Astyanax mexicanus: one gene and its partners. The protein of the gene in region 3 purifies or fractionates together with the protein of the main gene of each other region. This does not show direct contact. Links are inferred from orthologs where the notes say so. Each region holds a gene or a part of one and is shown on either strand. Other genes may lie near its edges.

The links.
Region 1: the proteins of nod1 (region 3) and ripk2 purify together in Homo sapiens (affinity purification with western blotting; 4 studies listed by BioGRID and IntAct, with this or other methods). This does not show direct contact. The link is inferred for Astyanax mexicanus from reciprocal best matches to the Homo sapiens genes NOD1 and RIPK2.
Region 2: the proteins of nod1 (region 3) and sugt1 purify together in Homo sapiens (affinity purification with western blotting; 3 studies listed by BioGRID and IntAct, with this or other methods). This does not show direct contact. The link is inferred for Astyanax mexicanus from reciprocal best matches to the Homo sapiens genes NOD1 and SUGT1.

The regions. Positions count from the first base shown.
Region 1 is NC_064415.1:55,318,208-55,326,035, reverse strand, and holds the start of ripk2 (receptor-interacting serine/threonine-protein kinase 2), read right to left. Parts: upstream 3,085-7,828; 5' UTR 3,072-3,084; coding exon 2,878-3,071; intron 1,632-2,877; coding exon 1,478-1,631; intron 564-1,477; coding exon 408-563; intron 1-407. Other genes in the region: sorting nexin-16-like, read left to right, coding at 6,313-6,579.
Region 2 is NC_064428.1:20,742,461-20,750,234, forward strand, and holds the start of sugt1 (protein SGT1 homolog), read right to left. Parts: upstream 3,058-7,774; 5' UTR 2,925-3,057; coding exon 2,911-2,924; intron 2,821-2,910; coding exon 2,772-2,820; intron 164-2,771; coding exon 73-163; intron 1-72. UniProt on the Homo sapiens protein: May play a role in ubiquitination and subsequent proteasomal degradation of target proteins.
Region 3 is NC_064408.1:130,924,320-130,931,866, forward strand, and holds the start of nod1 (nucleotide-binding oligomerization domain-containing protein 1), read left to right. Parts: upstream 1-4,528; 5' UTR 4,529-5,078; coding exon 5,079-5,240; intron 5,241-7,301; coding exon 7,302-7,476; intron 7,477-7,547. UniProt on the Homo sapiens protein: Pattern recognition receptor (PRR) that detects bacterial peptidoglycan fragments and other danger signals and thus participates in both innate and adaptive immune responses.

The DNA of each region.
Region 1 (7,828 bases), on a different chromosome or scaffold from region 3:
ATATTCAAGGTCATGCTCATATGTAAATGACCATCTGCTTTTCATACAGAGATTTAAAAAGTTTTAAAAAGGGCCTCTCTTTAATTAATGACTTAAAATACAGTCAGAAGAGTAAAGGAGCTACACAAAGGCTTTTGAAGAAACAAAATTGTGGTTTTCAGAAAATGGTTACTAATAGATATTGATTCTTGGAGTCATGGCCTCTGCTCCCACACAGATTAACATTCCACATAAATGTTGTAAGCGCATGCCAATACATGTCTGAAGGCCAAAACTGACCAAACCACTTTCTAAACTCAATGTGGTGAGCGTAGAGCTGAGGCGAAATTTCGAAATTGAGGAAGCTATGGTGAAAGAGGCGAGAATAATGGCACGCTAATCAAAAAAAGTAAGAAAAACTCACTAACCTTTACATGGTACTCTCCATCCAGCAGAATATTCTGTGTTTTCAGATCATGATGGAGCAGCGGAGGGGTCATGTTGTGGAGGAAGTTGACTCCAAGTGCAATTTCATACAGAATTCGAAGTCGCAGCGGCCAGGCCACCACTGGGTACATGTTTTTCTGCCAAACACGAAAAATGACAAACAGGATGAGCAAAACTGAAATACTGAGATTTGTTATTAAAGGTCACATTTTATAATTTTTTTCCCATTCATTTTAAAATATCTAGTTGTGGTCTCTAGTATGAATGAATTTCATGTGAGCCATTTTTCTCCGGTGTTTCTGTTTAGCCCTGCTTTAAATCACTGAATTAGTGGTCTCTGAAGAAAAACAGGATATTGGCTCTTGCTCAGAACTATATATATTTATACATGCAAACAGATCGCCTCTGATTGGTCAACAGCACTGCAGCAGAGAACATAACCTCCAGCAGTGAAAAGTGGCGTTGATAATTTCTTTCAGCTAAACTAACACTACTAAACTCTAAACTCTTACCTCAGACTTGCTGATTCAGTGCTTGTGCAGTTTTACCACGGTGAAGACCCAGAGTCTGCTTTATACTTTATATCATAAAATCTGTACAAATGGCGCCCGCTTTGACCGGTGTTCTGTCGAGTTGTGCTACCCTGTCAAACCGTGCTTCACTAATGTATATTTAAGGCCTTGGTAAAACGCAAAATCAGCCGGAGATCAGATTTAAACCTGTAGTTACTTACACAAGAAAGCTAACGCTAACTAGCTGGTGTAAACAGAGCTGTAAGCTCTTTAGTTACTGCACCCCGGGTTTAGTTTACTAATTAGTTTACTAATACACGAGTTGATGCTTTTGCAGATCGACTCGTTTTTCGGAGTATTCTCTTTTCTTTTCTAGCTACTGCAGATAATAGAGGTTATAGAATAGTTCCAATGCAGCATCGTATACAAATCAGAGAAACTTATTGTATTTCACAAAGAACTAGAAAAAGTGGATTTTAGCGGAAGGAGACCTTTAAATGAAGCATATTAAATATGTGTTTAGTTAAAGTAAACCTTACCTCGTGCAGAAGTTCATCCAGAGATCCATTGGTCATGTACTCTGTAACTATGCAGAAAAACTCAGGCTCGTTGCACACGCCAAATATTTGAATTATGTGGTTGAACCGGGCCTTGTGTAGCACCTCAGCTTCTTTCAGAAGACAATTTCTTTCCCTGCAAGGAAGTGTACAATTACGCAAAAAGTGTTAGGGATTCCCCTTCTCTGAAACAGCTGAGTAGTGCTTACAACAGACAAGCCACTGCCGTCAAACTGTTTCTCAAGCATGACATGTGATTTTAGCTCTTCTTATCGTGCTCCTCCTGTACTGCTATTAGTGAATTAACTCCACTTTCTCATGTGTTGATGTCACACTGACACGAAATACCACCATTTAGCTGGAAGGTATGGCCAAAATGACACCACATCCTGGCATCTGCTCAACTTCATAATGAAATTAAATTCTTCAAAATGTTGTTAGATGCTGATCTTTTGTTGGTTTTATGTCATTATCAGTTGTGTCGAAAATTTAGGAAATAGATTCTGAGGCAGGATAACACCCAGTTACTTCTGAATCTTAGTTTAGCAATTGAGACTTTTATTTTATTGATCATAAAAGCTAAGAGCTGATGACAACCCAGTTACACATTTATATCTAGCAGTGAAACAATATTTTGCCAGCTCCAGGAGACATTGTTGTCCCAGTGACTAGTACACTCATCAATATACTGCCTTTTAAGTGAGAAAGAGCATATCCAACTCTATAAACTGTGGACAGCATTTCTCCAGAATTTGTCATAAAAAATAATGTCATTTAGAGCATTTATTTAATATAATATGGCTAAATATAAAATGGCTAAAATAACAAAAAAGATGCAGAGCTTTCAGACCTCAAATAATGCAAAGAAAACAAGTTCATATTCATAAAGTTTTAAGAATTCAGAAATCAATATTTGGTGGCATGTTCTCCACCAGTCTTACACACTGCTCTTGGATAACTTTATGCTACTACTGGTGCAAAAATTCAAGCAGTTCAGCTTGGTTTGATGGCTTGTGATCATCCATCTTCCTCTTGATTATATTGTAGAGGATTTCAATTTGGGAAAATTAAAGAAACTCATCATTTTTAAGTGGTCTCTTATTTACTTAATTATACTGGTTTATTATTATCATCAGTTCTAATACAGTACTTTTACCTGAGGGTGGATTAAAGCTAACCTTACTCTATCAGTATTGATGAAGGGAGAGTAAGTAAGCTAAGCTAGCCGGCTAGCTAACAGTAGCTAGGTTACCACATGTAGTTCACAACAAAAACAGCACTAAACTAGCTAAACTAAAGTATCGCAGGCCCCGCTGTGTCTGTCTCTCTCTCTTAGCTGCTGCGGAAAAGGCCGAACCGGAGCCCCGAGTCCTTGAGCTCACCTCTCCCCGACGGGCGAGTCCAGCTTCAGGCACTTGATGGCGACGGTGGTCCTCCAGTCGCTGTGCAGCGCCCGGAACACGGTGCCGAAGCCGCCCTTGCTGATGTAGTGCAGGTCGGTCAGCTTGCGGTAGGGGATCACGGGCAGCGCGCTGGTCAGGCTGCCGATGTTCACGCAGCCCATTGCGGGCTCCATTGCGACCGAAAAACGGAAACAATGCGGAGACGGTCAGCGCCGCCGGTTAGCGAAAATCCCCGCGGTGCGCCGCGGACGAGGCGGCCGAGCCGGAGCGTCTGATTAACGGCATGACTGAGGGACAGGAGGCGGGGACGGTGAAGACTGGCGCTCCAGCCAACGATAACCCACTCGACTGGAGAGAACGGTCGGTTTACGGAGCTTAACAGGAAAAAATCTCTAATATTAAAAAAAGCTCTAATAAAACGATATTCGGTAAAGTTTCCGATAACCCAGAAAACTGCACGCGACCTGCGGATGATTTATAAACTTAACGAAAAGAAACTGTCAGCGGTGAATCTGCGCTCTGTCACTAGCCCCGCCCCTCTCTCCACCGCCCCGCCCCTCTCTTTTTTCATCTCTCTATCTTTCCACCCCCTCTCTCTCTCCACCTCTCTATCTCTCTAGCAGTCTCTCTACCTCTCTCTTTCTATCTCTCTACTACTAATATGTTAGAGAGGTGAATGAGTTTAGTGAAATCTGAGATCATCACAAAATTATTGCTGTTTGTGGCCAAAATATTGTATTTTGGAAACAGCCCAAGGGATTTTCCAAAATACAGCAATGAAAACAGGTCAGCAGTGTGCTAAAACAATTTGCTATTTGCTATTAACTCTATTTACGTAAATAGAGCTGAGTCTTCTTTTGTGTCTTCCCCTGTGCACGTGTGTAGTTTTAAGACAGATATTCCTGGAAGCAGAAGCTCCATCAGATCTAAATAACAACAGCTTATCGACTTCAGCTGTTCTGACCTGTGATTGTCGATGGGTCAACATCAGTGTTTCGTCACATTCTCCAGACCAATTCAAAGCTCCTGATTAAGGCTGTATATATATATCTGTCTAAGCACCCTCACAGTCATGCTCCTCGGCCAGATTAAATCTAGACCTGGAACTACTGTGACTCTTAAAGTGGTTTGGGAATTCCCACGATGTAATAGGTTTCAGGGAAGTTCAGCAGATTTCTGGGAATCTCCAGCACTCTTAAATTAAACATCTTAAAATAATAACATTTAAAAAATCAAGTATATCATGTACTGTTTTGTTAATTATTTTAAATAATTATATATTTAATTGTGTTTTATAAATAATATTGCCAATACGTTCAGGATTTTTTTTTGACAGTCTATTGTTATTTAATTTGCCATAATATACTTTTTCTTTGTAATATTATACATAAAATAACACTTAGGTTAGATGTGGACCTAAACCTTGTCTATTACACTATTTTTCTTTATATATTTATTTATATAAGTTATTTATATACTGTTTAGCTTTAAATGAACTAAATTATCAATTCTACACACATTTAAACAGCAGCCCTTTTTAAATATATATATATATCATAATGATCAAAATCATAATGATAAATATTCTCAATTTAAAATATTTCCAGCTGGCTCTGCTCGCTGTCAATCACACCCCAGCGTCTACGCCCCGCCTCCACATGAAAACACTCCAGCGATTGTGTGCAAGTGCGGCGCGGTTCTTTTTAATACCACCTGTTTTCAGACATGTCCCGCCCCACGTGAGCTCAGATTCGCTAAAACGGTCACACCTGCTCTTCTAGGATTGGTAGAATCGACGACGTGCTGGCGAGTGCGATCTGGGAACCAATCAGAGCGCAGGATGCGGAATGCCACTAGTCAATCTCAGCGTATGGGGGCGGTGCTTAACTCAAAACGGGTGGATTTAAGATGCTGAAGCTGTCAGCTGATTTTGGAGCAACAATCTCTCCTATGAAACTCGTTTATAACGGGTATTTCACTCCTGCTCCTCAAAACACTGCGATTATCCTCCATATTTAATCTGCTGCTGGTAAGTAGCTAACCTGTTAGACTTATTTACTCAAATAATTTGCTGTTGGACAGAAAATAGTTACAGTTAGCCACTAATTTCTATGTATTTAAACCACATTATGTTATTATAGGGTTTAAAAATAGTAATATGTTTATAATAAATACGTTTCTGAGAAGGTATATTTTTGTGGGCACCACGTTTTTAGGTTCATAGATGTCCTTCAGATTTAGCTAGAAATGTTTTTAGCTAGAGGATGTCTGTTATTTCATGTTAATGTGGAGTTTTGACATTTTATTTTATACCAAAATGTTTCAAAATAGAATAAAATGATCCATGGTGAATGTGCTAAAAGCTAAGAATTTTCACTGGATTTCAGAACCTTAAACCAAATGCCTGTATGTTCCAGATTGAGGCTGTATGATAAATCATATTCTTATTTCTCTTTCACACAGTAAACGCACACACCAAACTGCTTCTCTGCCTGGGAAAATAAATGCAAAATAGTACCAACAGTAAAATTTTTTTTTTAACAGATTTAACAGCACTTTTTAAATTCTAATTCTTATGTTTAATTAAGTTCATTTTAAATACCAGTATGTTCTGCATTGTAAAATCATCCAAACTTTGAAGAAAAACAAAACCAGAATGTTTTTTATATATTTTAGATTCTTCAAAATAGGCACCTCTTGCTTAGATTAGACAGCTTTGCACATCTCTGCTGGACTTCCTCAGTCATTTTTAAGAGCTTGTTAAGAGTTAATTACTTGAATTTTTTGTCTCTTAATGTGTATGAGAGCATCGGTTGTAAAGTTGTGAAGAGGTAGAGTTACAGGTATACAGTGAATAGCTCTATTTAAGTAATGTTACAATCTATATTATGAGAAGCAAGAACTACTCAACTATGTAAAGAAAAAAATATTTAAAAGAAAAAATGAAGTTCAGGCAATCTGAAAAGAATAATTTCAACAACTTTGAAAGTATCCTCAAGTGCAGTTACCGCAAAAACCATCAAAAATGTTATGATTGAACTGGCCCTCATCAGGTCTGCCCCAGAAAAGGAAGAGTAAGAGTTTCTAAGCCTTAGAAACTGCAAGTTAACAGAACTCCGGATAAGTGCCACCTACAGATGCATCACAGATTATTTAAGTTTTGGTTAACACTTTGTTTAAGTATTAATTTCTTCAGTATCCTCCATATTTAGTACTTCAGTATTAATTTACAATGTATTCTAGAACTTTGTCCAAACTTTCTTACTTGGATAAGTTGGATTGGATAAGTAAAGCACTGTGTAAAAGGTGCTATATGAACACACTTGTCATGCTTTTTCCTAATCTTTGACTTAAAAAATATGTCCTTAAAAATTCTACCCTTTAATTTTTGCTCTACTTTTCACAGCTGCAGTAATGGCCGGCCCATTTGTTCCAGTCCCCTACCCTGTAGAAAGATGTCCAGCTATCTGGCAGCTCAGACACGGGATCAGAAGGACCTCCAGCCTCAGCAATCTCTCCGTCAACTCGGACTCATCCCTCTCACAGAACGCCTGGGTGAAGCCAGGGCTGAGGAAGATGAACAGTTTGGACTGCAGAGCCAGTAGAGAGAGTCTGTATGAAAGACCACCCTTAGCCACCTTGGTGGGCTACGAGGTCATGGAGGAGAGGGCGAAGTTCACGGTAAGTTTCTTTCAAATGTTCCTTTTAGAGGGTTCAGTTAAGTTTTGTTCTATTGAACAAACATACCACTGCTAATCAGCTCAAAAGTCAGTTGTGTTTGTGGATTATATTCGTATAGGGCTGATTTACAAACAAATGTAGATTAAAAGGAGAACTCTGGTGTAAAATAGACTTTTGCTGTAGTAAAACATGATAAAAAGTCAAACTTACCTTTGATTAATAGCACACCTTCGTTCTCCCACAGCGGTCTGAGATCCAGAAATTTTAACAGTTTGTCCAAACACCCTTCAGACTGGGTGATACAGGGCAAAATTTGCCCCGATAAATCACTTTTAACGTTTTACGTTATCCAGCTCAAAGTAGCTCCACACTAGCTCCTTGCTAGAATCTGGAGAGCCCTGACATTTAAAACGAAGAATTAATAACTTAAAAAGTGCACAAGAATCTTATTAAAAAACACTGTTTACATCCTATAAGGTGAGCTTCAGCTCCAAGTGCGGCCATCTTTGAACTGATAATAACATAGACATAGTACTTTTTATCTTGTTTTAATACAACAAAAGTCCATTTTACACCTGAGTTCACCTTTAAAATGCAACCAAGCTCATGAGGTTTTTGAATTATAATGAATGATAAAATGAAAAAAAAAAATGCTTTTCTGGCAAGCCTTTGTTTACATTCCTCCCCTTTCCTTCACTGTCTCGCTCGAGGTGACTGTAGTTTCCGCCGGTTCTCATTTTTCAGCCAGTTCTTGGGCTCCCTATCTTCTTATAAGAGCATTTTTTTCCGAGGCCATGTCCCAATTCACTAGCCGGGGCAGCAGTAGTGTATTGGACCGCGACCCTGACAACACAGGTTTGATCCTGCAAGAGGAGTGGTGTGTTTTTTTTTTTTTTCCTTTTTTCTTGGGTTTACCTGCTTTGAGATCACTGTTCTGCAACTGGGTTCAACAACCCTCTGGGCTGGAGAGCTACTAACTTAATTGCCAACCCCTGATCTACAAAATGCAGGTTTGAATAAGTCTTGTTGTGTTCAAACCTCCCTGAATATAAACTGAAGTGGGTGACTATCAGACAGTCACACACACATGACGAAAGAATCCGAGCCACCTAAACAAGAGCCACATTGATGCTGGCTAGAGGACTGGGTCTGAACATCTCCAAAACACCAGACCAGTCCCCAGTATTCAGTAGGGAGACCTAATTAGGTTTGGTTTCTCTTCTCATGTTATGCAAATATGAGTAAAACC
Region 2 (7,774 bases), on a different chromosome or scaffold from region 3:
CTGATAAACATATGCTAAATAGTCTGAGATACACTGAAAAAAAAGCAAAGAAAACCAAAAACAGGAACTTACTGTTATAGTCCTGGACCAGAATGTGTGCATAAGATCGCTGACAGAGCCATTCTGCATTGTCAGCTGTATCTCCCAAAGCCACATTCAGCTCCTGTGAACATAACAAAACTTAGTTAGTTAGTTTGAAAGTACAGAAAGACTTCTGATAGTAGCTGGTATCAGTCTGTCAAAGCTGAGCCTTGAGAGTCAAGGTGGTTGAAATGCTGGTCAGCCAGGCAAAAGCATACCATAATGCTGGTATCGGCCGATAATAGTTTTTTATAATCACTGGCATTGAACAATGTTTAGATATTTCAAACCGATACTTGCTGACATTTTAAATCCTTTTAAATAAATGCTACATTTAAATCCTTTAATATAAGCTCATTTATATTTATTTTATTAGTTTCAATAGGGCTATTGTTTTATTTAACCTGTTATTTACAAAAAGGTTTCCGGCTGCGATCAGTTTATATAAGGGCCAGTTAATATAAGATATATTAATGTGAAAACAACAGATATGAAAACAGATTTCTCAGGAAACACCCTTCATTTTATTGTCTGCATACAGTTGGTTGGAAACTAAAACTATATAAATGCTACATTTGTTTCTAAAGTTATAACATGGTGTCTAGTTTCTAGTAAGTCAAAATTGTGCATACTGGCATTAGCAGAGATGATAATGGCATTGGCCCAGAAATCCCACATCGGTCTACAGTCATACTGTATATGTAACTAGCTTGGTTTAGTTGATCATGCTTGTACACCAGCTAAACCAACAAACCCAAATGAAAACATATCTTATATTGGTAATCTGGCAAGTTAACTAGCTCTTGACCACCATAGCCAACCATCTTGGTCATGCTGGTCAACCACCTTAGTCTTCTCTCCACAGCTTAGAAACATTCTGGATCTCAGCATGGTCAAGCTTGGTCATACTGGAAATATAATGAAGCAGCTAACTTGGTCAGGCTGATTATGCTGTTAGACCAGCTAAACCATTAAACCCAAATGAAATCACACTCAATGCTGGTTCCTAAGCCAGCTGTTGGCCATGCTGTATGTTTTTCTTTTTTTTACCAGGGTAAATGTATACAGTAGCAAATATGGTACATCTTCATCATCCTAATTCACAGACTCTCCACAGCTGGGCAAGGACAACTTTGGATCTCAGCAGCAGGTTATAGACCAGTTAAATCATCAGACCCAAAATAAAATGTAGTATATTGGACCACCTTTGTCATGCTGGTCAAAGCACTTTAGTCTTGCTGCTGCTCGCGTTGGTTAGCCAGCATAGTCAAGCTTGGTCATACTGGATATCTAGTTAGCTAGCTTGGTTAGGTTACCATATGCTGTTCAACAAGTCTTAATTCTTTTTAAACCAGGGTGAATTTATACAGTAGGTTATAGACCAGCAAACGATCAAACCCAAATCAAAACATACCATATTGGACCAGCTTTGTGTCAAGCTTATACTGGTTATTTAGTTAGCAGGCTTGGTCAGGTTGATCATGCTTGTAAACTATCAAACCCCATAATAAGAAAAACATAAATACCATATGATGGTAAATAAGCCTGAACTAGCCATGCTGTATGTTTTTTTTTTTTTTACCAGGAAAAACTTATACAGTAGCTAATATGGTAAAGATGAGCATGGAACATTCTGGATCTCAGCAGCAGGTTATAGACCAGCTAAACCATCAAACCCATATAGAAATACAGCATATTGGACCAGCTTTGTCATGCACGTTAGTCTTGCTGCTGCTCATTTTGGTTAACCAGCATGGTCAAGCTTGGTCATTTATACTAGTTATCTTACTAGCTAGCCTGGTCTGGCTGACCATGCTTGTGAACCACGTGAACCACATAACCCCAAAATAAGAAAAAACATTACTACCATATGCTGGTCAACAAGCCTGAACTACCCATGCTGTATGTTTTTCTCTTTCTTATTTTTACCACGGTACATTTATACAGTAGCATCACCATCCTAATTCTCAGGCTCTTCACAGCTGGGCATAGAACATTCTGGATGTGAGAAGCAGGTTATAGACAGGTAACGTTAGATACTCTGCTAGCTAGCTAACTTAGGCACCAACTCTAAAAGTGAGCAAAACATATTATACCCACGCTTTTTAATAGTATTAACTCAAATATATTATGTAAACTGTGAATAACTGTGTGTTGGATGTGAACACAGTTAGTTAGCTAGCTTAGTTAGTCAGAAAAATTCGAGAACAGCTACGTTAGCTTTGCTAGCTAGAGCAAACCACAGTCTATGGAGCAGACTGGCTAAAAACACTGACCAAAGCTAAAAACCGCGGAACTGCTGCATATTATCTAAGAGTTAACAGCTGTCTACAGTTTAAACTGGTTAGCCATCACATCACAACTGTCAAAACTTAGCTAACTAGCTAACAAACCCAGTCACTTTACCCTACCTCGGCTAACAGGCTAACGTAGCTAGCTAGCCATTCAGCTAACCTAGCTCATCCGGTTTTCAGACACTGCGCTGCTTAGCTAAGTTAAATGTCCATTTGCACAAATCCCGTGTGTTTTTGGCTCCTCAGACATGAAAAATGTATTTAATGGTATAAGTTACTCTTAACGCTCATACATTTAAGCATTGTGTTTTAAGCTAAGTGAACTAGTTAGCTAGCTAGGTTAGCAAGTTAGCCCCCTATGCTAGCTACGCTAGCTGGCTATCGCAGTGTTTTTACCTGCAGAGCTCGCTTCGGGTCCTCGTCTATGAAACTGTCAGTAAAACTCCTGCAATAAAAAGCAAACAGGGTTAATAAAAGGTTAATAATCCACCTTATATCGCGCTATACTGTCGGTTTGTGGCCGTGTGGAGGTTACCTGTCGCTGGCCATGAGTCCGCCGTTCTCGTGGGTGAAGAAGAAGGTCTAGAAAGTTCTGAGTGAAACCGAAAGGCCCTCCTCGCTGCTGCTTAGCGCCATGTAAACATCAGGACTGTCAAACTCCCAACTGTGGAGAAAAACACCCGGCAAAATAAACGCCTGCAACCACTGAACTCTGAACCAGACTTCATCAACTACTGGCTCAAGTGACAGAACTTCTAGACTTGTTTTACTGTGTTTACAGATGATAGTAAACTAATAGTAAATTAATACATAAGTCATCCAGACTATGAAGGAACACACAAAGACTCATGTAGTAACTTAAAAGTCTCATTCAATCATTTTCTCATTCATTTTAAAATGTCTAGTTGTGGTCTCTAGTATGAAGGAATGCCATGTGAGCAGTTTTTTTTGTGGATAAAAGTGCTCTGGTGTTTCTGTATAAGCCTGCTTTATTTCACAGAATTAGTGGTCTCTGAAGAAAGACAGGATTTCGGCTCTTGCTCATGAATATTCATACATGCAAACATATCGCCTCTGATTGGCTAGCAGCACTGCAGCAGAGAACGCCTACCTGCCTTCCCCTGCAGTCAGTTTTACAGCTCTTAAACTCAAAGGACAAAATGTTTTCGGAGACACAGCCTTAGTTTTAAAGATACAGCACTAAGCGCTAGGTAAAGTTAACCCTTAAACTTCGCTTAACGTCAGACTCACAGCGATGCGAGTGCCGTAGCTTCCCTATTGTGTATTCAAGCTCTTGGTAAAATGCAGAATCAACCGGAGATCCGATTTAAACCTATAGGTACTTACACAATATAGCTAATGCTAACTAGCTTGTGTAAACAGAGCTGTAAGCTCTTTAGCTGACAATGTCTGCTCTGCTGCAGCCTGGCTTTAGCTTTGTCTGTGGGCGGTCCTGAGCCAAGATGGGTGAGGTCATGAACTCACAGGTTGACGTAAACATGGTGCTTTTCCTGATCAACTTGTTTTTCTAAACATTTTATTTTACTAGGTACTGCAGACAATAGAGTTTGAAGAACAGTTTCATGTGTAGCTGCATATACAACTCAGAGATACCTATAATATTTCACAAACAACAAGAAAAAAGTAAATTTTAGGGGAAGGAGACCTTTAAAAGTGTAAAAACTAACCAAAATAATCTGTGAAGCATTTAGGTGGCTCTTATCTGTGCTTTCTGAGGCTGGTAACTCTGATGAACTTGTCCTGTGCAACAGAGGTAACTTTTGGCTTTCCTTTTCCTAACGAGTGCCAGTTTCATCACCTTAACACCTTATCACTTCTGGGTACTTTAAAAGTTCACTAAATTTTTCAGATTTACCTTCATTTCAGGGTTTAATACTGTTTACAGTATAAAAAAGTGTTGGCAATATTATTGCGTACAATGCGATATGGCACACTCCTACACAAAAATATTAATGATTAAAATCTTACCTCTCATTTTTACATCAGGTTTGTTTGTAGTTGATTAACCACGTTTTTCCTGTATGTAGGCTCACATAGTTCTTTACATTTTCAAAGGCCCTACAATTCAACCCTGTGGAATGCCACAATTCACAATAGATTCTGTATTAGTAATAATACAAAGTATTATAAATATAATATTATAATTATAATATTACTTATTACTTAAAGTTATTTTTCTTTGTTTGTTTAGAATGTTTTATAGAATGATAAAAAAAATACTACTGGTGTGCATGCCTGTCAGTTTGTGATCTCTGTGGTCTCTGTTGCATATACACATACCGTGTCTAAGTGCCAATATCAGCACAGTATATCAGATATCAGACAGTATCATTATCGATGAAACACTAAAAATTAAGGTTATTCTTAATTCCCTTAAACTCATCAACAATGCCCAAACAACACATTTCTGAAATGTATTAAAGCTGCACAACATTGAACAAAAAATGGACTTAGCAGTATTTTGCTATTGCGTTATAATAAAATACCGGACTTTTCTCTAGATTTCCAGAAACCAATGGCCTATCATGCCTCATAATGCTAATAATGCACTCTGTACATGACGTATTGGAATAATAATAATAATTAATTCTAAACAGATATATTCTGCCTCTGATGTATGTCATAAAAATAAGAACAGTTCAAATTTAAATTTTGTATCAAGAAGCGTGCACTGCAGTTGAATTAATTGTATATTTAACAAAAAGTTGCAAAGGTTTGATAGCATGAAGAAGCAATAAGCTTGTTTAGGCTGACACAATTTTTATTTTCAACTCAAAATAAAGTTGCCGTACAGGAGCTTTTAATTTTTTTTATTTGTTCAGTTGTCTCTTTTGCAATACTTTTAAGTCCAGGTTCTCCTCAAGATTTCTTTCTCTTTCTGGGAGTTTTTCTGTAAAGTGGTTTTCCAGCTGGAAACAGCCTTGATTATATTTTCTCACAAAAATAGGCATCAGGATTTTCAGGTTACAGTACAGAAACAAATAATCAAGTCCGCATTCCAAAACAAATGCATATTTTATTTCTTAAATACAGGCTTGACAACCATTTGCGTATAAAATGAACAGAATCATCAAATACAGTGATATTTTAAAAAAGACAAAAAAAAGATCTTAATATTTTCTGCAAACTGAGACATACATGTTCAACAATATCAGTGAAAAGTTCCAACACCTCCGACATATAAGAAGGTAACTCCCGTAAAAGACAATTATTTCATCAGATACAAGGGATAAAGCAGACAGACATTTTTTTTATATGGCTTTGTTATCCAGATGCACTGTACAGGCTTTTTTTCATTAAGATATACCAATATATGCAATAATAATAATAATAAAACACATTTTTACAACAGTTACTGTTGTCAGTAATAAAGCACATAACATTAAAGAATCCAAAAAATGGCATAGATGGAGGCATTTTCTGTACAGGAACGCCTGTTTTTGAAAACAACAAAATCAACTAAATTGTTTCATCTGATTTTATTTGTTAAATATAAATCTTTTGTTAAAAAATTATAAGATATTTGAACCACATTTCAACCTGAGAAATGTGTAAAATAATCAGATTTGCAAGTAAAACACAAAATGAACCAACCTTGGACCCAAAACCATCAGTTATTTTGGAGCTTAGTCTTAAATATACAAGGTAATACAGAATAAAACAATGGATAGAGTAAACAACAGTAATTGTTTCCAATATGTTCCTGGCCTGGCCTTCAAAGTATACAAATCAGATCAATGATTTTTGTTATTCAAACCGTTAAATTTCTCTCAAAAGAAAAAAAAATATATAGAATGATACAAATGAATAAAATGCAGCTATTTATCCACAGTAGTCCAGCATAACCTAAACATTCTGCTCTTCTTGAGTTTAATAAATACATTAACAAATATCAGTCTGAAACATTGGTCACCTTAAGCATTGCCCAATCACCAGAAGATCATATGTTTTTATCATAAGTTTCATCTCCAGTGATACCACAGCTGTCCATGTCCAAAACAACAAGACAGCACCACTGACCATCTGTCCCCCCCCCCAACCACCACTTAAGCACAAACACTCGCCAGCGTGGGCGTCTGTTAGCTGATGTAACAAAATTGGCAGTTTAAGCACATTCAGCCGTCCTATAATGTTGCATCAGCAGCAGTTTTAAAAGAAGCAGTGGGCTGGTTTTATTGAAGGCGACTCTGTGGAAGCACATGCTAGCCTTCACCCTCCAGGCGCTGGTAACATTGCGTGATAGGAGAATCCTAGCTAGTGGCTGGGAACTGACAGTTATGATATCAGGCAGAAAATTGGGGGAAAAATAAATTCTAAACACTTGTCCCTAAATTGGCTCCCCTAGGGCTAGAGATATAATTGCTGTTAAGTATGCATTTTTGTTTTTGTTGCATGATGGCTGCTGCATACGTATCCTCGTTTGGTCTAAGTTGGTGTTCTCAAAAATTTACACTGTGTACAAAAGGTGCAGTACACATAATAAAAACAGTAGTGGGCAGTGAACCCACTCAGACACGTCAAAATGCTGGAAGAAAAGCTGAAAGCTGTAGCTACGTTCCAAAGCCTACGCTGCAGTCCACGTAGAGCAGGTCCTCAGTAGGACACTGTCTTAGAAAGATTGCTTTTTGGGAGGCTAATACAACGAGCAAGGTTCCGCCTCTTTTGAGGGAGAAAAGAGAGCCTCCTAATTTGTGCCTCTGGCTTTTACTTTTTTTGTCCACAGAAAATTAAAAATAAATTTAGTTACCCTTAACGCTAAATGTGTACAGAGAAATGTGGGTAACAGAAGACTTAGAAGGATACTTCAGTTGCCAATTCTTTAAAACGCAGCCTTCTAAAGGACTAAAGTAACTGAGTTACAAGGGGAAGTGGTTAAAATCTTATTCAAGAACCTAAACATAAATAAATAGAAAAAGAACACTGCTAGAATACTAGATTACTAATAGCGGTGCTCTGTAGGCAACCCCGCCAGTCTAATGTTACAGCAAAGACAGTAAAGTTTAGTAATCTTGTTGCTTACTTTACTTTAATTTAAGGCAACATATATTTCGTATCATTTACCCAAATTAATTTGTAACAGGGAGCTGAAACTGGCTATTATGTAGTTCCACTTTAAATGCAGAAGCTTTAGGCACTGCTGCTGTATCATTTAAGGTGGAACAGGAAATTTAGCCTGGTAGCTAGCTACCAAGTCATACTACTAGCAATTTTAAGCTTGTTGTTATAATGAAGAAAAGGTTCAGAACACGTTGGAACTACAATAAACTAGGATAATGCAATGGTCTTATAATTTTTAACAAAGAAAATACCACTGTGACAAGTAGATGACAATGACTTGTGTGTTTTATGCAGACAAGTACGTACACAGTAAGGTCCTA
Region 3 (7,547 bases):
TCATTCATGTGATCAGTTTACTCTGTTTATCAATTATAATGTTTTTATTTCAAATCGAAAACGAAAGGAGGAGAATAATAAATTATACAGTAAAACACAAACACAACTACAGTGAACTATTTACTTAAAACAATTAGACAGCTTCAGTTTCTGATTCAGTTTCTCTGATTTTGCTATTTATAGGTTTATGTTTGAGTAAAATGAACATTGTCATTTTGTTCTATAAACTACAGACAACATTTCTCCCAAATTCCAAATAAAAATATTCTCATTTAGAGCATTTATTTACAGAAAATGAGAAATGACTGAAATAACAAAAAAGATGCAGAGCTTTCAGACCTCAAATAATGCAAAGAAAACAAGTTCATATTCATAGTTTTAAGAGTTCAGAAATAATCAATAGTTGGTGGAATAACCCTGGTTGGTTTTTAATCACAGTTTTTTTCATACATCTTGGCATCACGTTCTCCTCCACCAGTCTTACACACTTGTGGTGTTCCACAGGGTTTTACTGTAGGACCAATAAAACTTATGTTAATAATGATAAAACTGTAGTTCTGAGAGTGAAGGACTGAAGTGTAGATTATATACAGGTTCTAAACACAGTTTTAGAACCAGTGTAATGTATAATCAGTGGAGCTGAAAACAGTAGCACAATAATGGGTGTAGAAACAAGGAGGTGTTCATAATGTTCTGCTAAATCTAAATCTCTGTATTTATTTCTGCATCTACACTGTAGTACAAAAAATTACTCAAGATTCAAGATTCAAGATTTAATAGTTTATTGTCTCTTAAACAGTAAGAAACAAGTTTCCTTTTACAATAAAATTATTTATTTCCTCACCGCCAAGTATACCACATAAAGATAAAAGTGCAAAATACACAATAAAACAAGAAATAACAAACTAACTAAATACAGATTTTTACATAATTACTGTAGAGGATAAGGCCTGTTTCTTTTGGGGGAATCTTCTTTTTTTTCTTTTTTGTGAAGTTTAGTTAGTCTTTAATGTTACAGTATTATAGTATAAATTACATTGTTAGATTACACACCTCTTCTCTCTATGAAACGTTTGAATTATTGACTTCCTATTCTTAGTAAAAGTCATAATTCACCTGATGTACAGAATTATCTTCAGGATTATTAGATAAAAAAATGTGCTGTTTGTATAAATGAATGAGAAATGGATTCTATGACTAGATAAAGCGCAGGTTGAACACACCATTTTGAGAGATTCAATCTTATTTTGAAAAATGCTAAAAAAAAAAAAAAACAGAGAAAAACTGTAATTTTAATATATTTACAGATTATAACAAGCCTCCACCTGAACCTGCACTACCACTCTTTACCACCAGGACAAACGTTTCATGCATGTTTTTGATTTCAGAGTTTTCACTTACTGTGATTAATGATAAAAGATTAAGATTGTGTGGAACAGAAAAAAATAAAATAATTCAGAATTAAAACAAAATAGAAATAGAAAAATTAATTCATATATTTTTAAGAATTTTAAGAATAAATACTCAATTAAAAAAGAAAGAAAGAGAAATCTAAGAATAGTTGATATAAATAAATGAGCGATTTTGCAAATAGGACAGTAATTATATGTTTTAAGAATGAGAAAATTTTCATATTTGTAAGGGAAAAAAAAAGATCAGCTTATTGTCACATATTAGAAATGTGACAAAACAAAACCTGAATTGGGACTTCGAAGCAGTTTATCAAAATACTGTGATTTAAAAGAATCATTTTAGTTCTAAACTGAGTTTTGAGTTTGACATTAGTACTTTAGGGGATAAAGCCTGTTTTTGGGGGGGATCTTCTTTCTTTAGTTCTTGTTAGTTATTTGTGTAAATTTTCTTTCTTTTTTTTGTTAGGTTTAGTTAGATAAACACCTAAGTTAAATATTACTTTGGGTTTTGTTTGCTATTTTAGGATTCTTATCCCTAAAGTTTTTGTAACGTTTTTTTTTTAATCACTTTGGCTTGTATTTCTCAGGGAGGTATAATCTTTGGTCTCACGAAAAACAATTATTAATTATTAATTATATAATGAAGTTATAGGACTGTAGCATATTGGAGCATATTTAGTTGTGCATTAACCAGATTTTGGAGTTCTATAAAACCCAAAAATCAAACTGTTATCACATGACATCATTAAAATCTTGAAGACCCCTTTATGTACTATTAATGATATAAAAATCAAGTGATATTTCTGTAAAATTTTGGAGTAATGGGAGGTCAAACCTAGAACAAAAGTCTATTCGGTTTTGTTCTATAAAATCAGCAAATTAAACTGTTATCACATGAAATCATTAAATTCTTGACTAAAAGCCTTTCTATTAATCTATTAATCTTACAAGTATTGAGTGATATCACTGTAGCATGTTTAAGTATAAAAGGTTAAAATTAGGGAAAATGTCTATTTAGTTGTGCATAAACCAGATTTTGGAGTCCTATAATACTGGAATTCAAACTGTTATCATATGACATCATTAAATTCTTAAAGAAGCCTTTCTATACTTTTAAGGTTATAAGTATCAAATGATATTTCGGTAGCATTTTGGAGTACTGGAAGGTCAAACTTAGGTAATGTGTCTATTTAGTGCATAAACCAGATTTTGGAGTCTTATAAAACCAGCAAATCAAACTTTAATCAAATGACATCAATACATTCTTGAAAAAGCCTTTATATACTATTAATGATACAAATATTAACATATATTTCTGTAGCATATTGGAGTAATGGGAGGTCAAACTTAGGAAAAAGGTCTGTTCGGTCTTCCGTAAACCAGAATTTGGAGTGCGACAAAATCAGCAAATTAAGCTGTAATCAAATGACATCATGAAAGCATTGAAAAAGCCTTTCTATAGTTTTAATTTCATAAGTACCACGTTATATTAATGTAGCATATTGGAGTTATGAAAGGTCAAATTTGGGAAAAATGTCTATTTGATTTTACAGAAGGCCAAATTTAAAGTTCTATAAAATCAGCAAATCAAACTGTTATCAAATTTCATCAAAAAAAATCTTAAAGAGTCCTTTCTATACTATTAATCGTATAAGTATCAAATGATTTTACTGGAGCATTTTGGAGTAATGGTAGGTCAAAATTAGGAAAAAAATATATTTATTTGTGCTAAAAACTGATTTTGGAGTCTTATAAAACCAACAAAGTAAACTGTAATCAAATGACATCATTAAATTATTAAAGAAGTCTTTCTATACTATTAATGTTTTATACTATTAAAATATTAAGATATTTTTTACTCTAGTGTATTGGAGTAATGAATAGTCAAACTTAGGAAAATTGTTGATTTATTTCTGCGAAAACCAGAATTTACAGTCCTATTAATCCAGCAAATCAAACCATAATCAAATGACATCATAACATTTCTGAAGAAGCCTTTATGTACTATTAAACATATAAGTATTAACTTATATTACTGTAGCATTTTATAGTAATGTGAGGTCAAAAAAAATGTCTATATGTTCATGCATAAACCAGAATTTGAAGTCTTATGAAACCAGCAAATCAAACTGTAATCAAATGACATCATTAAATTATTAAAGAAGTCTATATATACTAGTAATGTTACAAATATTAAGATATATTACTGAAGTGTATTGGAGTAATAAAAAGTCAAACCTAGGACAATTGTCTATTTATTTCTGCGTAAACCAGAATTAACAGTCCTATTAATCCAGCAAATCATAATAATCAAATGACATCATTTATATACTATTAAATATATAAGTATCAAGTGATTTTACTTTAGCAGTTTGGAGAAATCGGAGGTCAAACCTCAGAACAATTTAGTTGTGCATAAACCAGATTTTGGAGTCTTATAAAACCAGATAATCAAACTGTAATCAAATGACATCCTTCAATTCTTGAAGAAGCCTTTCTATACTATTAATAATATAAGGATCAACTTATATTACTGTAGCATTTTGGAGTAATGGGGGGGGGGGGGGGGGGTCAAACCTCGGAAACAAAATATCTATTTAGTTGTGCTTAAACCAGAACTTGGAATTTCTGTAATCAAATGAAATTCATTAAATTATTGAAGATCCCTTTCTGTATTATTAAATATATAAGTATTAAGTTATATTACTGTAATATGTTTTGAGCAGAGACTGTAAAAAAGATGGACGCCGTGTCTCCGTTGCCGTTCATTCAATGAAAATGAAGCCAAAATCTTCCGCCATGTTGGCGATCCTGAAACCCGAGTCTGTAGAGCGCAGTAGAGACCAGAGGAGGGAGAAAGAAAGACTGTGGAGAGACCGCCTACTCATTTAAATAACCCCGCCCACGAGGGCTGCCTCGAGGTCACAGGCTGCAGAGCGGGGCGGAGCGGAGCTGACGGTCTGTTATTGGTCCCGCCCATAAGCAGCCCTTTTACCATAACCACACCTTTTTTGAATAGAGCTGAATAACGTTTTAAAAAACGAATTCTGTGGGGATATAAAAGTGTAACAATATAAGCAGAGGCTACACTAGCTGCTGCATTTAAGTAATGGAGGTAGAATTACAGTATATTAGAAAAAAACGTGATTGAAAGTTTTCTGTTTTGCCATTGAAACCTATGGGGATGGGTGGAGTTACACAGCTTTCTGCAGCCGAACAGCAGGGGGCGCCCGACCTGTGGTGGCTTCACTTTTAAGAGACGATGCTCTGTCCAGCTATATACAGTCTATGGTTTTGAGTAACATGCTGTTAAACTTAGGAAACACGAATAGTTGCTAGGGGTGTGTGTGTGTGTGTGTGGTTAGTGTCAGATTTCAACAGACATTCCAGTTTCACTTCCTGAAACAGAGCAGCGACACACACACACACACACACACACACACACACACACACACACACACTGTGAGAGGCAGTGATCGAGTGTTGGGTTTTTATGAGTTTCTCTACAGTTTTACTTTCAGTTCATTAAACGATCTTCACCAGCAACACCAGCATGACTGAACTGGAGATACTGGCGATACTGGGGACACTCTTCAGCTGACAGACGGTCCACTTGTGTGTGTGTGTTTGTGTGTGTGTGTGTGTGTGTGTGTGTGTGTGTGTGAGATGGACGGGGCTCGAGCTCTGAAGTTACTGACCCTCCACCGCGAGGTTCTGGTGGAGCGCGTGAGGAACACACAGTGTGTGCTAGATAACCTGCAGAACCAGGGATTCATCTGTACCGAGGACCTGGAGATCATCCAGCACACCAACACCAGAACCCAGCAGGTACACACACACACACACACACACAAACAAACACACAATTCAAAAACTATACACACTCATAGTGTATTATACAGGAGAAGCCACACCCTCTTCACCATGACTGGTTGCTTAAATATATATCACTAGGGGTGTGCCATATCCTATCGTACATGATAATATCACCAAAAATGTAGAATATGGTGAACAATATTATGCCCTAAAATATGGTACCATATCAACCACCCCTAATTATCACATCAGGGTTCTACTTTTTTACTGTTTTTGGTAAAAGAAAAATTCATACTGTTCTCATTTCCCATTTATATATCTACTAGAGACAGATTATATCTGTACAGTATCATTTATTTTATGAATGAAGTTCAACTTATATAGCGCCTTTCTAGAAACCCAATGACGCTTTACAATTAACACGTTTTATTATCCACATAAAATTATCCACACACCGGTGAGAAGCAGCAGCCAGTAGCACACAGCGTACTCTCAACCGGAAACAACCGTCTATCTGGAGGACTGCATCCAGCACTACAGCATTTACCCAGGACAGAGTACCTGGGCATATCTGGGCACAATCATACACACATATTTACATACATTTACACACACACACACACACCAAAAACTTACATACATACCACACACTTTACTTTACTTTGATTTACTTTACTTTACTTTACTTTACTTTACTTTACTTTGATTTACTTTACTTTGATTTACTTTACTTTACTTTACTTTACTTTACTTTACTTTACTTTACTTTGATTTACTTTACTTTGATTTACTTTACTTTGATTTACTTTACTTTGCTTTACTTTACTTTACTTTACTTTGATTTACTTTACTTTACTTTACTTTACTTTACTTTACTTTACTTTGATTTACTTTACTTTACTTTACTTTACTTTACTTTGATTTACTTTACTTTACTTTGATTTACTTTACTTTACTTTACTTTACTTTACTTTGCTTTACTTTACTTTAATTTGCTTTACTTTAATTTGCTTTACTTTGCTTTACTTTGCTTTACTTTACTTTACTTTACTTTAATTTGCTTTACTTTAATTTGCTTTACTTTGCTTTACTTTGCTTTACTTTACTTTACTTTACTTTAATTTGCTTTACTTTACTTTACTTTACTTTGCTTTACTTTACTTTACTTTACTTTGATTTACTTTACTTTACTTTACTTTACTTTACTTTGCTTTACTTTAATTTGCTTTACTTTGCTTTACTTTAATTTGCTTTACTTTACTTTACTTTACTTTGATTTACTTTACTTTAATTTGCTTTACTTTACTTTGCTTTACTTTACTTTACTTTACTTTGATTTACTTTACTTTAATTTGCTTTACTTTACTTTACTTTACTTTGATTTACTTTACTTTAATTTGCTTTACTTTACTTTACTTTACTTTACTTTGCTTTGCTTTGCTTTGCTTTGCTTTGCTTTACTTTACTTTACTTTAATCCTGGATATATGGAGATAAATGGAGTACATTATTATTATCATGACATCCTGGATCATTGACTTCTGTTACAAATCTGATAAAATTATTTGTTTTTATATATTTCAATTAGCCATATAAAATTCTAAATATTTTTTCTAATTCAATGTTTTGTCTTATTGCCAAAAGTATCCATATCATGAAAATACCATGAAATATCAAGATATTATTTTAGAGTCATATCGCCCACTCCTATATCACACAGTGTATAAAGGTAATTTAAAGACCGGTGAATGTTTTCTGAACGTTTTTAAGATTGTTTTATTAAATGTTTTTAAATGTTCTTGACTCGACTTGAATAATAATGTTCTAATGCAAACCTTTATTTTGTCAAACATTTTCAGAATGTTCCTGAAATTTTATTTCTGTAACATAACAGGCTAATGTTCCTGCAACCTTTTTAACATTTTCCTTATTTTTCAATAACATTCTCTGTTAGTTTGGATAAAAAAAGAAACACTTTTGCTTCACTTTTTCAATATGGAATGGCATTCCTTAAAGAACTGAAAGTGTACCGATGATGTTTTTATGTTTGTTTGTTTTTTCCTTTTCTAAATAGGTTCGTAAAATCCTGGAGCTGGTCCAGAGTAAAGGAGAAGAAGCTTGTGCGTATTTTATTCACATTCTCCACGAGGCGTACGATGCGTACATCGACCTCCGGCCGTGGTTCCAGAGTATCCAGTATGAACCCGCCGACTCGGTCAGAGCCTTACCGGTGATCAACACCGACCCGAGTAAGTTCTGGATCTTCATTATTACAAAATCATCAATAAGAAGTGGTGCTGTGTAGGACCGTGATCATTTT